2 linked regions of the Coturnix japonica genome follow. The protein of the gene in region 1 interacts with the protein of each later gene in a biochemical or structural test. Links are inferred from orthologs where the notes say so. Each region holds a gene or a part of one and is shown on either strand. Other genes may lie near its edges.

Evidence for each region. The genes of interacting proteins can lie anywhere in the genome.
Region 2: the proteins of GTF2I (region 1) and BTK form a complex in vitro, tested with the Homo sapiens proteins (4 studies listed by BioGRID and IntAct, with this or other methods). The link is inferred for Coturnix japonica from reciprocal best matches to the Homo sapiens genes GTF2I and BTK.

The regions. Positions count from the first base shown.
Region 1 is NC_029534.1:1,907,763-1,914,356, reverse strand, and holds the start of GTF2I (general transcription factor II-I), read left to right. Parts: upstream 1-2,403; 5' UTR 2,404-2,563; coding exon 2,564-2,598; exon of another isoform or gene 2,599-2,677; intron 2,678-2,725; exon of another isoform or gene 2,726-3,706; intron 3,707-3,862; coding exon 3,863-3,968; intron 3,969-4,465; coding exon 4,466-4,604; intron 4,605-6,594. UniProt on the Homo sapiens protein: Interacts with the basal transcription machinery by coordinating the formation of a multiprotein complex at the C-FOS promoter, and linking specific signal responsive activator complexes.
Region 2 is NC_029519.1:1,974,223-1,980,583, reverse strand, and holds the start of BTK (tyrosine-protein kinase BTK), read right to left. Parts: upstream 4,298-6,361; 5' UTR 3,764-4,297; intron 2,922-3,763; 5' UTR 2,840-2,921; intron 1,733-2,839; exon of another isoform or gene 1,672-1,732; 5' UTR 1,630-1,671; coding exon 1,489-1,629; intron 1,383-1,488; coding exon 1,284-1,382; intron 1,095-1,283; coding exon 1,029-1,094; intron 515-1,028; coding exon 433-514; intron 1-432. Other genes in the region: RPL36A (60S ribosomal protein L36a), read left to right, coding at 4,477-4,479, 4,778-4,883, 5,007-5,074, 5,637-5,855. UniProt on the Homo sapiens protein: Non-receptor tyrosine kinase indispensable for B lymphocyte development, differentiation and signaling. Binding of antigen to the B-cell antigen receptor (BCR) triggers signaling that ultimately leads to B-cell activation.

The DNA.
Region 1 (6,594 bases):
CGCAGGCGAAGCTGTTTCAAACAGCCACAGTTTTATTTCCTTGTTCTCAGCTTGCTGTGGAGTTGGATGCAAATGATGGCACGAGATAATAAAAGCCTAAACAAATGCAGCAGAAGGCACGAGGCTGGCAGCTGGAAGAAGGGCAAAGATCTGTACCCATGACCCCAATTAGACGTGCAGTTTGACATCTGATCAGTTGGCATCAGAATCTGAAGCCTTTCATGTTTCTGCCTGGTGCTGAAACCCCACGGCATCTCCAATTAGGAAACAAAGACAAATGCTTCAGAGGTAAAAAAAAAAAATAATAATAATAATACAGTTTCTCTCTTTTAAAACGTCTGAAAGGGGCTCGCTCACAGATCAAACCACCCCGAGGAGGTGTCTCCTGGGAGGGCACCTTCATTATATCTTGACTTCTCTTAGTTTTTGCAATGTAAAGGCCTGGTTCTGGAACACTGAGGGCGGCACTGAGGCTGGGTAATGAGCAACAGGCAGGCAGGGATCCCAGCACTGAGCCAAATCAGAGCACTGAGCTGCACTGGGGACTGTTTAGAGAGCTGAGTGCATTCATGAGGGCTGGAGAAGTGGGGAAAAATGGAGGTGAGGGGGAGCCAGCAGGGCTGTGCCTGCTCTTGGCTGCCTTATTTCCCCAAGTTGGATGCATGAAGGTCATTCTGGACCCAAATCCAGGTGCAGTAACCCCTCTGACCCTCCTCCCTTAAACTCCAGATCTCCAGATTATTGCTGCTTTCCCTCTGCTGTAATTCTGCATCTTCCCTCTTGGTCCTTTAGCTCAGGGTATTTTTATACCCAGTTTTTGTGTGCAGTGTGATTTTCTGCTGAATGGGATGCGCTCAGTCACAATTAGAAGATGGAGATCTTAACACTTGAGCCATATTCCTCATTTATTACTTTTCAAAGAGTTCGGTGGGTTTTTTTGGTTTTTTTTTTCCTTCTTCTTGTTGTCTCCGTGTTTACAAATCCAATAACAATCCTCATTAAGAGTTGCAAAACATGAAGCCATTTTGATCCCAGGCAGATGGCAGCTAAATGAAGTTTAATTAAAGAATGAGCGCTTTGATTCAAATCATTTCTTAAAAATATAGTGCACGGAGATGCTTAGAGAGCAGCATAAACAGCATCTGTGCTGCATTCAGAGCCCATTTGCAAGAAAACACTTTGGGAAAAGAAAATGCAGGGAAATGTTAAGTTGGTTTTGCTGGGTTAGGGGTTAACACTGCATGTGGAAGGGGTTATGATGTGGGGTCTCCTCCAGGCTGAATGCCCACAGCTTTGCTCTACAGGAGAGATGCTCCAGCCCTATGAGCATCCTTGTGGCTCCCTCTGGACCCACACCATGGCTTTGCCATTTTATTATTGGCAAAATTGGATGGATGGATGGATGGATGGATGGATGGATGGATGGATGGATGGATGGATGGATGGATGGATGCTCCCTCCTCAAGGATCAGGAAACAGCCAACTCCAAAGAGTGCTATGGGCTCATAACTCCAAAGAGTGCTATGGAATGTTTGTGTGGGCTCATAGGGAGGCTGGAGAAGCTCATAAGCATGAACTGCTGAGCATTCTGAAGCTGGCAAAGCTCATCATGGACAAGAACCTCCTGAAGGCAGCTGGGGTCTGGGTGAGCACCACAGGAAGGCATTGCATGTGCTTGACTGCAGACACACAGCTCTGAGGACGGAAGAGCAAAGAGGAATGCAGGTAGATTGTGTGGAGGAGGCAGTGGTCCCTTGGTCATATCCCTTGGTCATATCTCTTGGTGCTGGTCTATGTTGAACCCAAACTGGTCCTGTTCACTTGGGTCCTGTGTTGGATGAATACTAAGGGATCAGGCACTGTGCTGGGGAAGCCCTGAAGATGTGTAGTCCATTGATTTGTAATGACAGCATCTGTCCATTGGTTTGTAATGACAACGTCTGTCCATTGGTTTGTAATGACAACGTCTGTCCTGCTCCATGGAGCAGCAGGGCACAAAATGGCGGACACCCCCCTAAGGCAGAACACCCCTCCAAGGCCCACGCGTTGGGTTAGCACCCCCCCGCGCGGTGCACGCTGGGAGATGTAGTTCTCCGCCTCAGGCATTGAGCCGCGGCCGCACGGCGGGCGGACTACATATCCCAGCAGCCCCCGCGAAGAGCGCGCATGCGCAATGGTGCATCGATGAATACAAAGCTCCCTCGGTGAGGCGCTGTATTGAGCCCAGAGACCGCAAAGAGGGCGGCGGGTCTTTGGGCCCATCCCAGCACCGAGAGGCTGCGGGAAAAGGGGCCGCTTCCAACACTGTTCCGCTCAGCCCCCACAGCCTGGCCGCGATTGGATGAGGGAGGAGATGGGCGTGATTTGTATGCTAATAAATTAGGGGTGAGGCCTAGTGTGCTCCTGCGATAGGGCCGTGTTGGTGGGGGGGGGGGGGTGGTCCGACCGCTAATTGTAATTAACCTGCCTGGGCCTCGTGGTTGAGCCCCTTTGCATTGCGATCTCCGTGCTGTATCGCCGCCATATCGCCGACAGAACCACGCTGTCTGACTGCAGTGCAGTGATGGAGCTCCGTGCTGACAGCTTCATTGCTGCTCTGTGGGTAATGCTGCTCTATTTGTATGCCTGCCTTGTGAGCAGTGCCGCTGGATGTGGTTTTCATTGTGTCTAAGGCTTTGTGAGTATATATCAGCCTATTTGGGTCTGGAAATAGTGAGATTTGGGTTAAATATTGCTTTACTAGCAGACTAGAGGATGAAAGGAGTCAGAGATGCTCTTAAAGTAGCCAATGTTTGGGTTGTTTCATCTCTTTAAATGGTTTTCGGTAGTAGCAGAGGTAAAATGCATCTTCCTTAGCATCACAGGTGTGCCTGCATCCCAGCAGGGTTCCTGTGCTTTATTAGCTAAATCATATCAAGATTAATGTTTTCTAAATCAAACTTGGGGAAGAAAAATAGAGCTTTCTTCTGCTTTGAGCCAGTAATGGATCTTTAACAAGATTTGCTTGTGTTTAACAGCTGTGAGTTCTAATCTGTGCTGTTCTGATCCGGTTCTTTCTGTCCTTGGTCTGAAGGCTGATGTTTGGGTGGAATTAAACGTGTCTTGGCCTTGAAGGCAGAGCAGCCAAGGGGTGAGACTGGTAACAGCCAGGCAGCAGTCTGGCTTCTAGATAGAGCATTCATTGTAAATCCATGTTCCTTCTTCTTCCAGCTTGGTAAGGCAACAAGTGCTCAGTTAGAATGGTATTTGTTATAGAAATCCCCTGCTGGGCTGTTTTCCCTTGGGAGCAGCGGATCTTTGGCAATGTGCAAGGCTGAGTGCAGGCACGCTTGCAGCAGCTGTGTTTTGGGGTTCTTGGTTACGAGCCTTCCCATCTGCACAGTACGAGTGGTTTTAGTGTTTGTGCTGGGTTAGCTGCTTTGGAGCTGTGTGAGGCTGCTGAGGAATTTGGCTTGCACTCAGACAGCTCAACCCCTAATGAACTTGTGCTGAGAGTTACAGGGCACGTCACTCTAACACCGATGTCAGAACAGGTTTGTCGTTCTATTAATACAAGTCTTCTTCTGCTGTGCCTCTTCAGGCTATTGCAGATATGAACATACACAGAAAGAGAAGTCAGTGTAAATGCAGCTAATCAATTGATATGCATCTCTCTAGGTGTTTTGTCTAGACGTGGCACAGCATTTTAACTTTCAAGCAGCAGGAGGTATGGAAGAACAGAACAGTGAGCGATTTATACTGTTGCTGTACCTGCATATTTGTTCATATGAGGGTATTCTGGGTTTTTGAGCATGTGAATCTGTAGGTGGATATTCCTGCTCTGTTGCTTGTATCTGAACTGGCTTTATATTTGATTTTCCAGGAAGAGAATGGCCCAAGCTACAGTAGCAGCATCATCCGTGCGTGATGAAGACCCGTCTGAAAGCAGGATGGTTGTCACCTTCCTTGTCTCAGCTCTGGAGTCCATGGTTAGTGGCTGCAGTGCTATAGCAATACCTTACCTCCCTCTGGAGAGCTCTTGTGTCTGTACAGGAAGCCTTCCTGCTTCCAGCTCTGTTCTCCAAACAGAGCACTATTTGTGTTAAGTGTGCTGTGGAAGGATAAAACTCCTGTACTAATTCTAGCTAGGACAACACGATTATCTAATTGGAATCTAATTGAAGTGATAATTTCCGAAGGATAGACTGAATAAATCATTTTAATTAAAAGCAGTTCAATTCCTCAGTCTAGATGAGAGCTTAATTTCACTAATGCACCTACAGTGCTTTTAAGGTTTCTCATCAAAAGAATTCCAGATACATAAACTGTCCTTTGCTAATGACTGACATTATGTAACTCATGATATCTTTTGAGGAGTGGATGCTGGCAGCAGGAGTAGTAACTGCTTTAAGTGATTCCACATACATCTTATTACTGTATACGTTTAACAGGGATGATGAATGCTTTTCTCTTTGTCTTTTCATAGTGTAAAGAACTTGCCAAGTCCAAGGCAGAAGTTGCCTGCATTGCTGTCTATGAAACAGACGTTTTTGTGGTTGGAACTGAGAGGGGAAGAGCCTTTGTTGATTCCAGGAAAGATTTTCAGAAGGATTTTGTGAAATACTGTAAGTTTCAAGGTTGTTTAGTTTTGTATTTCACTCCAGCTGCTTCACGTATATTACAAAATACTTGTATCTCTTGAGAGCAGCGTCCTGTATATTGTGGCTGCATTCTGCAAGTAACACCTGCTATAGAATCATTGCTGCATTGCTTTTGTACTCCTTCACATCTGTGGGAGTGTTTTTTGTTTCTGTTAATTTGATATAGTGGAACTTGTGTGATTATGAAGCTTGATCTGTTGTGTACAGGGCAGTGTTTTGAGAGTGGGCTCTCATAGGTGCAGTGATTCTTTGGGTGTTTTACATGCGTGTACAGGAAAATGCTGTTGATGTTCAGTGCTTAGCCAGTAATGCAGTGCCCCTTTATCTGCCTGGGGGAAGGGAGAAGATGAAGGTCAAGAGCAGGATGTGAGAGGACAGCCAGTCTGGGGGAACTTTATAACAACAGCTGTGAGATGTTCTGGCTTGACTAATTACATACTGCGTGCAGTGCAACCGTGTTTAATCTGTAACTGGAAGATCTGCTTCTAAAAGTGCTTTTGCTGATAGCTAAAACTCTGAAGAATTCAGCTGTGGTTAAGCTCTGGATTTGCTCACTGTTGTGCTGTTGAACGGTGACTTTCTGTGGGTGTAAGTGTATTTACTCTAAGAAAACCACTGTCATGTGGGACTGCAATATGATATTAAAATGCAGAGCGATGACCTCAGTGAGGAACTGAGGATGAGATGGTCATGATGTGAGGAAGTTCAGCTCTTCACCTGACTTGCTGTTATAGGACTTCCCTGTGAAGCCAAATAGTCTTTGCTCACTATCCCAATCTAAGAGTTCTCAGTTTTTTACTGAGTGTTAACCAAGTATTGGTACAGCAGCCTTGCTGCTTCCTTATGATCCTGATCACCTCTGATTATATTCTTATTATGTATTTCTTGCTTGTCACAACTGTATGAAGTCAGAAATAGCTTCTAAATGGGGTGGCTTGTTCTTCTGACAGGAAGCAGAATGTATCTGACTTGAAGAGCAGACTGCATCCCCTGACACATATGGGAAGAGCTGAATGTATTTTTCAGCGTTACTCTAACAAGAGAGGTTACTAGTGGCTCTAACTGCTCCTGATCACATTCCATTTGTCTTAGTTACAGTATCTAAAGGGCAGACTTCCTCTTTGTGCCAGGACAAATGTGAGGATACCGCTCTGTGAGCAGCTGACATCTTTGTGTTGCTGGGAGGGCGATCCCTTGACACTAATGCAGCTAGCTGAAAAATGCCAGTTCTTCTTTGATGGTGATGTGCCAGTGGGAAAACTGGTTTCCCACAGTCATTTTCTTTGGCCCTGAGCTATTCTGTGGTCAGCTGAGACTTCTGAGACTTCCGTGGCTTTTGCTGCTCCTGAAGCTACAGAATATTTTAGGAGAGAAGGGATTTGTTAAATTGTAGGCTTAAATAGGAAGGGAAAGAAAAACAGTGAGAACCAGGCAGAGGATTCATCCTGACAAAACACTTGTGGAGGTGCGTATGTGCCATCTCTAATCCATTCCCCATTCTAAATGCATATTTTTGGGCTGTGTTTGCTACAGTTCTCACCTTAGATTTGGTGAACTCTAAAGAACACATAGGAGGAGAGTGTGGTTGGATTGGTTGCATTCTTCAATCTGTAACTAGCGGGATGCTTTCCTTCTGCCAAGCCAGAGCTGTTCAACACCTCTGTAGGTCTCAACCTCTTGTTTGTTTTCCTTTTCTAATTCCAGATTCCCTTTCCACTATCTGGGAGTGGTCTCTGCTGAAGGCTTGTTCTGCTTGAGTATGTGTTGGAACAGTCGATCTCCAGTCATTCTTACTGGCAGCTTCCTCAGTTGTGACTCTTGGTTATGTCCTTGAGTTTTCAATGCTTTCTTTTCTTCCCCCTTCCTTGCAGCAGATGACTTGGAATCATTGGCACTTCTTCGAATGGCAAGATGAGAAGAGGTTGACAGCTGCTTGTGGCTGTGCTGACTGTAG
Region 2 (6,361 bases), on another chromosome or scaffold:
ATGAGCTCAGAGATGCTGCTGGGCTCCTAATACACTTTTTGTCCACATTTCCTTCCTAATGCAATGGGGGCTCTACCCTCCCCTTGGTGGAGCTCTGTGGCCACATCTGCCATTTCCTCCTGCTCTCAGCGACTTCTGAAGATGATTGAACTGCTCTGGAGCAGGTTTGTGGGATGGCAAAATACCTCAGACAATGCTGTAGGAATAAGTAGGAGGTGAGTGCCCCCTCTCCCCAGGCTCACGCTAGCACAGGGATGGTACAAATGATGCAAGCAGGGGAATAGCCTTATGACTTTGCTCGTCATGGGAGCACTTTCTGATAGAGCTCTCTCCTCCGCAGATATGGGATATCGTAACCACGAGGCAGCAAGCCCCCGGAAACCCAGCGCTCTGAGTCACACCGCATGTGCAGCCAGGTGCCCCAAAACTCACCGCTCTTCAGCTGATGGATCCAGCGTTTGCGCAGCTCCTCTGTCGGGGAGAAGACATAGAGGGGCCCCTCGTCATACACCACCTGTAGTACACCAACGTGCTCAGCACCAGGCCATGGCTCATGGGGGGAAATAGGAGAGCAGAGGCTTGCAGCCACCCGGAGCAAAAGCCGTGCCGTTGTGTGCTGGCCCCGTGGTGCTCATGGAACCATGACAGAGACGTTATAAATAAGCCCCTTCCCCTGAGACTTTCCACTTCCTTCTCTAACTTTCATTGTGCTGGGTGCCAGTGAGCACGAGCAACTGGGCTGGGGGCTGAGTGAGCAAAGAGCATCCATCCCTCCAGGACTGGCCAGGGGACCAAAAATGGCAGGACAAAGCTCAGGGCCAGCATCCATCTCCTTTTCCAGAGAGCCGCCCGATTCCTCACTGCCCATGAAGGCTCATCAGCCTGCCCCACACAGCAGCAGGGTGTCCCCAAAATGATGCTGTGCTTATCCTCATGTCCCCCTGCTCTTCTCACCCCTGCTGCAATGCCAGCTCCTACCCTGCAGCCAGCTGAAGCAGAAAGGTGAAGTGAGCACGATGAGAACTAACCTGAAAGGGGTAGGGGAACCGCTCAATGATGGAGATCTGCTCCATGTTGTAATCCTCCCCTTTCCTCTGGAAGAGAGAGGGAAAGATGGACACTGACATCCTGCAGCTCAGCTGCTCCCACAGCCCTTGCCTTTCTCCTGCCCCGTGCTCTGTGTTGGGCTGGACATCAGTATAGTTTGGACTGTGTGCACAGAGCTCCATACCAGACAGCACTGCCCCAAAGAGAGTACAGGGGACAGCAGCAGGGACGCTCACCGGGACCTGCCGCTCAGGAGGAGGATTGTTTTCGGGCACCACCGTCTCCACACAGGTGATCTTCTCAATGTCCACCGAGCCCTTCTTGCTGCCTCGACGCTGCAAGAGACAAGACTGGTTTGAATGATCCCCAAAGCGGGGACCCGGGGACATCCTCATCCCCATGCTTTGTGCTGGTGTGGGGCCAGCAGCCCCACAGACTCACCCCACGCTCAAAGTCATACTCGTAGTAGGACAGCTTGCTCTCTGTCAGCAGGAACAGGCGCTTCTTGAAGTTGAGGGGAGATGTTTTCTTCTTCTGCTGCGAGCGCTTCAAGAAGATGCTCTCCAGGATGATGCTGGCCATGTTGGCTACCCCAACTGCTTCCTCGCCGTGCTCCCCGGGTTGCTGTGTGCAGGGTGACACTGACACAGCTCTTGCTCAGCCCAACACCTGCCTGCAGCCGGACCTCGCACACATACAGGGTATTTATGGAGTGACTTCTCCCTGGTTACTTCCCCCTTGAAATGCCATGGTGAGGACCAAGCTGCCACCCTACAGGCTCCAGCTCCAGCTGGGTGCTAGTGGCTAGATGGGAGGGAGCTGGGGAGGCCGTGAGAAACACCGCCTCAGGGAGGAGCATGGAGGCCAAGCTGTGACACCCAGCACCCTCCCTCCTCCTCTCGGCACTGCTGTGTTTGTGTGGGCTGTTTCCTCCCACTGAGCTGCCTGGGCTCTGCCTTGCAAATGGGACAGCTGTGGGGGCAGGTCCACAAAAAAGCCCCAAATGCTTGCAGTGCTGTGCTGACAACAGCCAACAGCAGCTCTAGAACCATCCTTCCCCACTCTGCAGGCAGACAGTGCTGAACTCCTTTCCCCATATGAGCCAGGCTCAAAGTGTTTCCTTTAGCCAGCACTCAGGTGCTTAAATCCTCCTGCGGCCCCCACCAGCACAGCTTCTGACCCTCTGCAGGAACGGGTCTGGTTGTCTGTAGCACCCTGTGGCTGAAGGTGTGAGGTGCTCCCACGGAGGGCTGTAACCAGCTCCTGGTCTCACTGCTGAGCCACATGGAGCCACTACTGATCCACACCTCCCATTACCTTCTCTGTGCTTCCTATCCCTTCACCTCAGGTTTGTTCTCTTTTCCCTGGAATAGTGGGGTCAAGCTCCCCGCTGCACATCTGTGTAGCCCATCTGCTCACCACAGGGACCACAGGGGGACCAAAGGTATTCTACGTGGTTCTGCCCGCTGTGCCTCTCCCATGGCATGCCCAGCAGGGGGGCAGAAGCAGGGTATCCCTCCCATCTTCTCCAATGTCCAGACCCCCACCACAGACCTTGTAGCAGCAAAGCCGCCCTATGTGCCTACAAACAACGGGGCTCCCCCTGTCCTCCCACTGTGGGCCCCATTGCTTAGGGTTCTTTGGGTGGTTTAAAAATAAGAACAGCTTAAAAATAATGGGTTATGTGAAGAACCAGCAGTCTCTGTCTGATCCAGGGATGAGGGCTGAGAGAACTGGGGACATGGCAGGTGGCTGCAGTGGCCACTGACCCACAGGATGCAGGGACCCTTACCTTGTGTAGCAGCAACTACATCACCCCCAGCAGCAGTGGGCAGAATGGACAGGTCACTATCCCAGAGGATGCAGTGAGGACACTAGGGAGAAAAGGACGGTGAGTGTCACAGAGGGATGCTCTGATCCAGCACAGTGCTGTCTCTCCCTGTCCCCAGCACAGCCTCCCCATCTCTGCACTAGCACATTTCTCCCCAGCTGCCCCTTTCTGCCAGTTGTGCAACAGGGGTGAGGAAGGGGTCGATGTGTGCAGGGCCACCAGACCCCATCCCCGTGCTGGTGGCTGCCTGGCCATACTCCCCTCCCCAGGCAGCCATCACTGCCTCATTGTGGCAGCAGAGGTGGCGAGTGGGTGAGCGGAGACATCCCCCCCAGATAATGTGACTTCCTGCCGCTGTCACACCTCGGACACGAGTGCAAGGAGGGAGGGGAGCTGCCACAGGCAACCCTGCACAATCAGTGCAGGACTGGAGCAGGGATTCAGTGTGCAAAGGCACTGCCAGCACCCCACCCCCTGCTCCACTGCACTCCAGCACTCACACATCACCCCCACTCCTTGCTCCGTGCTGCCCCAGTGCCACCAGCACCCAGCCAGCACCCCGACAGGCAGTTCCAGCACACTGTAGCACCCACAGACCACCCCATCCCCCTATTCTGGCACAGCCCCATGGCCACCCAGGGCCCTGCGCCCCACATCCTCGTGGCAGCAGGATGGATGCCGCCAGCTCAGTGTGCATCCAAGCCTCACGGCCCAGATGGGGCTGCTCGGTATGGCACACCACAGCCAGCACCTGAGATACCTCCCCCATCCCCAGCACCGCAAACAGCGGAGATGTGAGGCCACGAGCCCTCGTGCTGCCCACGTCACATCTCTTCCTGCCACACGCCCCTGGGGCGCAGCCCACCCTGTGTGCCCCGCACTCACCGGGCCCTCCCGGCCGCCCCAACGGCTGCGCCCGCTGCTCCACGCCTGCCCCGAGCGGCCCAGGGCAGCTGTAGGGACACGGCGCGGGGCCCGCAATGGGGTCTGCCGTGCAGGGAGGAAGAACGGGGCCGGCCAACCCCACCCTTTCAGTTCCCCTTTTCTGAGTTTCTGACTCAAAGCAGCAGCTGCGTTTCCTCCTGGAGATGGCCGGGGCCACCTTCACAGTGCCGCCAACAGGACCGGCTGTGGGGACATGGAGCCGGGGGCACAGTGCAGGAGCAGGGGGTGGGAGAAGGGCTGGGGTGTGAGCTCCAGGCCTGGTGCTGGGCAGTGCGGCTGGGAAATGGGCTGCACACTGTGCATGAAGGGCACGAGGGCTTCCCCTGCACCCCGTGTCCCTGCGTAGCCCTGCACAGCCCCATGTCGCTGTGCACCCATGTCCCTATTACACCCACCATGTCCCTATTACACCACCAGGGCCCCTGGCCCCACACCTACGTGCCCCGACCTCCTTCCCTCCATCCTCCATCCTCCTTCCCTCCATCCTCCATCCTCCATCCTCCATCCTCCTCCCTCCTCCCTCCCCCTCCCCTCCATTCCCCGTCCTCCCCTCCACAAGGGGGCGCTGCGCTCCCCGCTCCTCCTCTCTATGATCCCCTCACGTCTTTTTCCGCTTCCGGCTCGCTCCTTCTCTTCCGGTCACCAGCGGCAAGATGGTGAGCGTTGTTGGTGTGCTGTTGCGGGTTTGCCTTTATCCGCCTCCATCCGTCTCCGCGGCGGCTCGTTCCGCCGCTCCGAGGCGCTGGGCGATGCGGGGAGCTGCTCGGACAGCGGGCGGGCCGGGCCTGGGAAGCGGCGGAGGCCGTAAGCGCGGGGCGGCGGCGCGGGGCCTGTGCTGTGGTGGGGAGAGGGGCGGGAAGGCCGGGCCGCGCTCCGCAGCACCGGGGCGGGATGGCGGCTGTGCGGCCTGTGGCTGCGCTGACTGCGCTGACTGAGGTCTGTCTGCTCCTCCAGGTGAACGTCCCGAAAACCCGCCGGACCTACTGCAAGAAGTGTGGCAAGCACCAGCCGCACAAAGTCACCCAGTACAAGAAGGGCAAGGACTCCCTCTATGCCCAGGGTAAGGGTGGGGGTGCGGTGGGCAGGGGGCAGAGCCCGGGGGGGTGGTTGATGCCGAGGCGCTGCCAGCTGTGCTTGTAGCGTATCAGAGCTGCTGTCTAAACGTTCCTGTTTCTTCGTGCAGGGAAGAGGCGCTACACGAGGAAGCAGAGCGGCTATGGAGGCCAGACGAAGCCTATCTTCCGTAAGAAGGTGAGCGCTGCTCCCATAACTCCTGCTTGGAACATCTGCTCTCCACACATCATCCTGGAGGGGACACTTCTGTCTCTGTGCTGTGTTCAGTCCGCACTGTGGCAGCTCCATGCAGGTAGAACTGTCCAGAGAGTGCAAGAACACAAGTTCCCATCCCAGGCTGCTCCTCGTTCCCTATTAGGTCACTGCTTTCTTACAGTGCAGTGATGCAGCATGGGGGCTGAAATCTGCCCTGTTACAGCAGGGAAGCAAAACCTGACAGGCATTTGCTGGAGCAGCTTTCCTGCTCTGTTATTGATCTCTGCAGGAGACCAGCTCTGCCCCAGTCAGTCCTTTCACCGGAGTTCTTTAAAACATGAGTAGGCAAAGGAGCAGATTCACTCTTTACCAGTCTTTAAGATACTTTTCTGTGTTTAATGGAGCAAGTCAGCTGTGTTTAATTTCTTCCTATGTTCTGAGAACAAGCTGATGAATGTTGTAAGGGTGGAGATAAGAGGCTTTTCCTGAGAGCAGCATTTTATTCATTTTTGGACACTGCTCATTGCTCTTCCCCCCTCCTCAGGCCAAGACCACAAAGAAGATTGTGCTGAGGCTGGAGTGTGTGGAGCCCAACTGCAGGTCCAAGAGGATGCTGGCCATTAAGAGATGCAAGCACTTTGAACTGGGAGGAGACAAGAAGAGAAAGGTATGTGTGTGTGTACCAAGACTGGCTGGTGATGGAAGCATCATCTGCATGTGGCCTTGGGGGGAAGGGGGAAATACTGCCAGCATCACAGGCTGAGCCCTCCCTAAGTGCTGAGTGAGGCTCTGTATCAAGGGGAGGATTATCAGCAGCATGCAACAGCCTGCCTGGAGTGGCAGCAGAAGGGACAGACAGACAGCAGGCTATGTGCTACCATTGGGAGAGGGCAAGATTCAGGGGTGAATAAACTCACACTCATCTCTTCCTTCTTATAGGGCCAGGTGATACAGTTCTAAGCTGCATCCTACTCATTTTTGGACCATATTAAAGTGTTTGGAAGTGATCTGTTAACTTGCTTTTGTGTGTTCTGTGCTGCTGGTGGGGTGAGACGTGCAAGTACATTAACCCAACAGATGTTCCTTGCTCTAAGAGGTGTATAATAGAGCATCGAATCCACTGTACTGAGTGTTGCTTCTGGTTGGTAATTGTGGTTAAGCGTCTCTGTCCTGTACCAGGAGGACCTTTAAGCTAAAGGCTGCTGCCACTGGAGAAAGAAAGCAGTTATTTGTGGAAGGGAGCTCACTAAGGAAGCCAATCCCCATTGG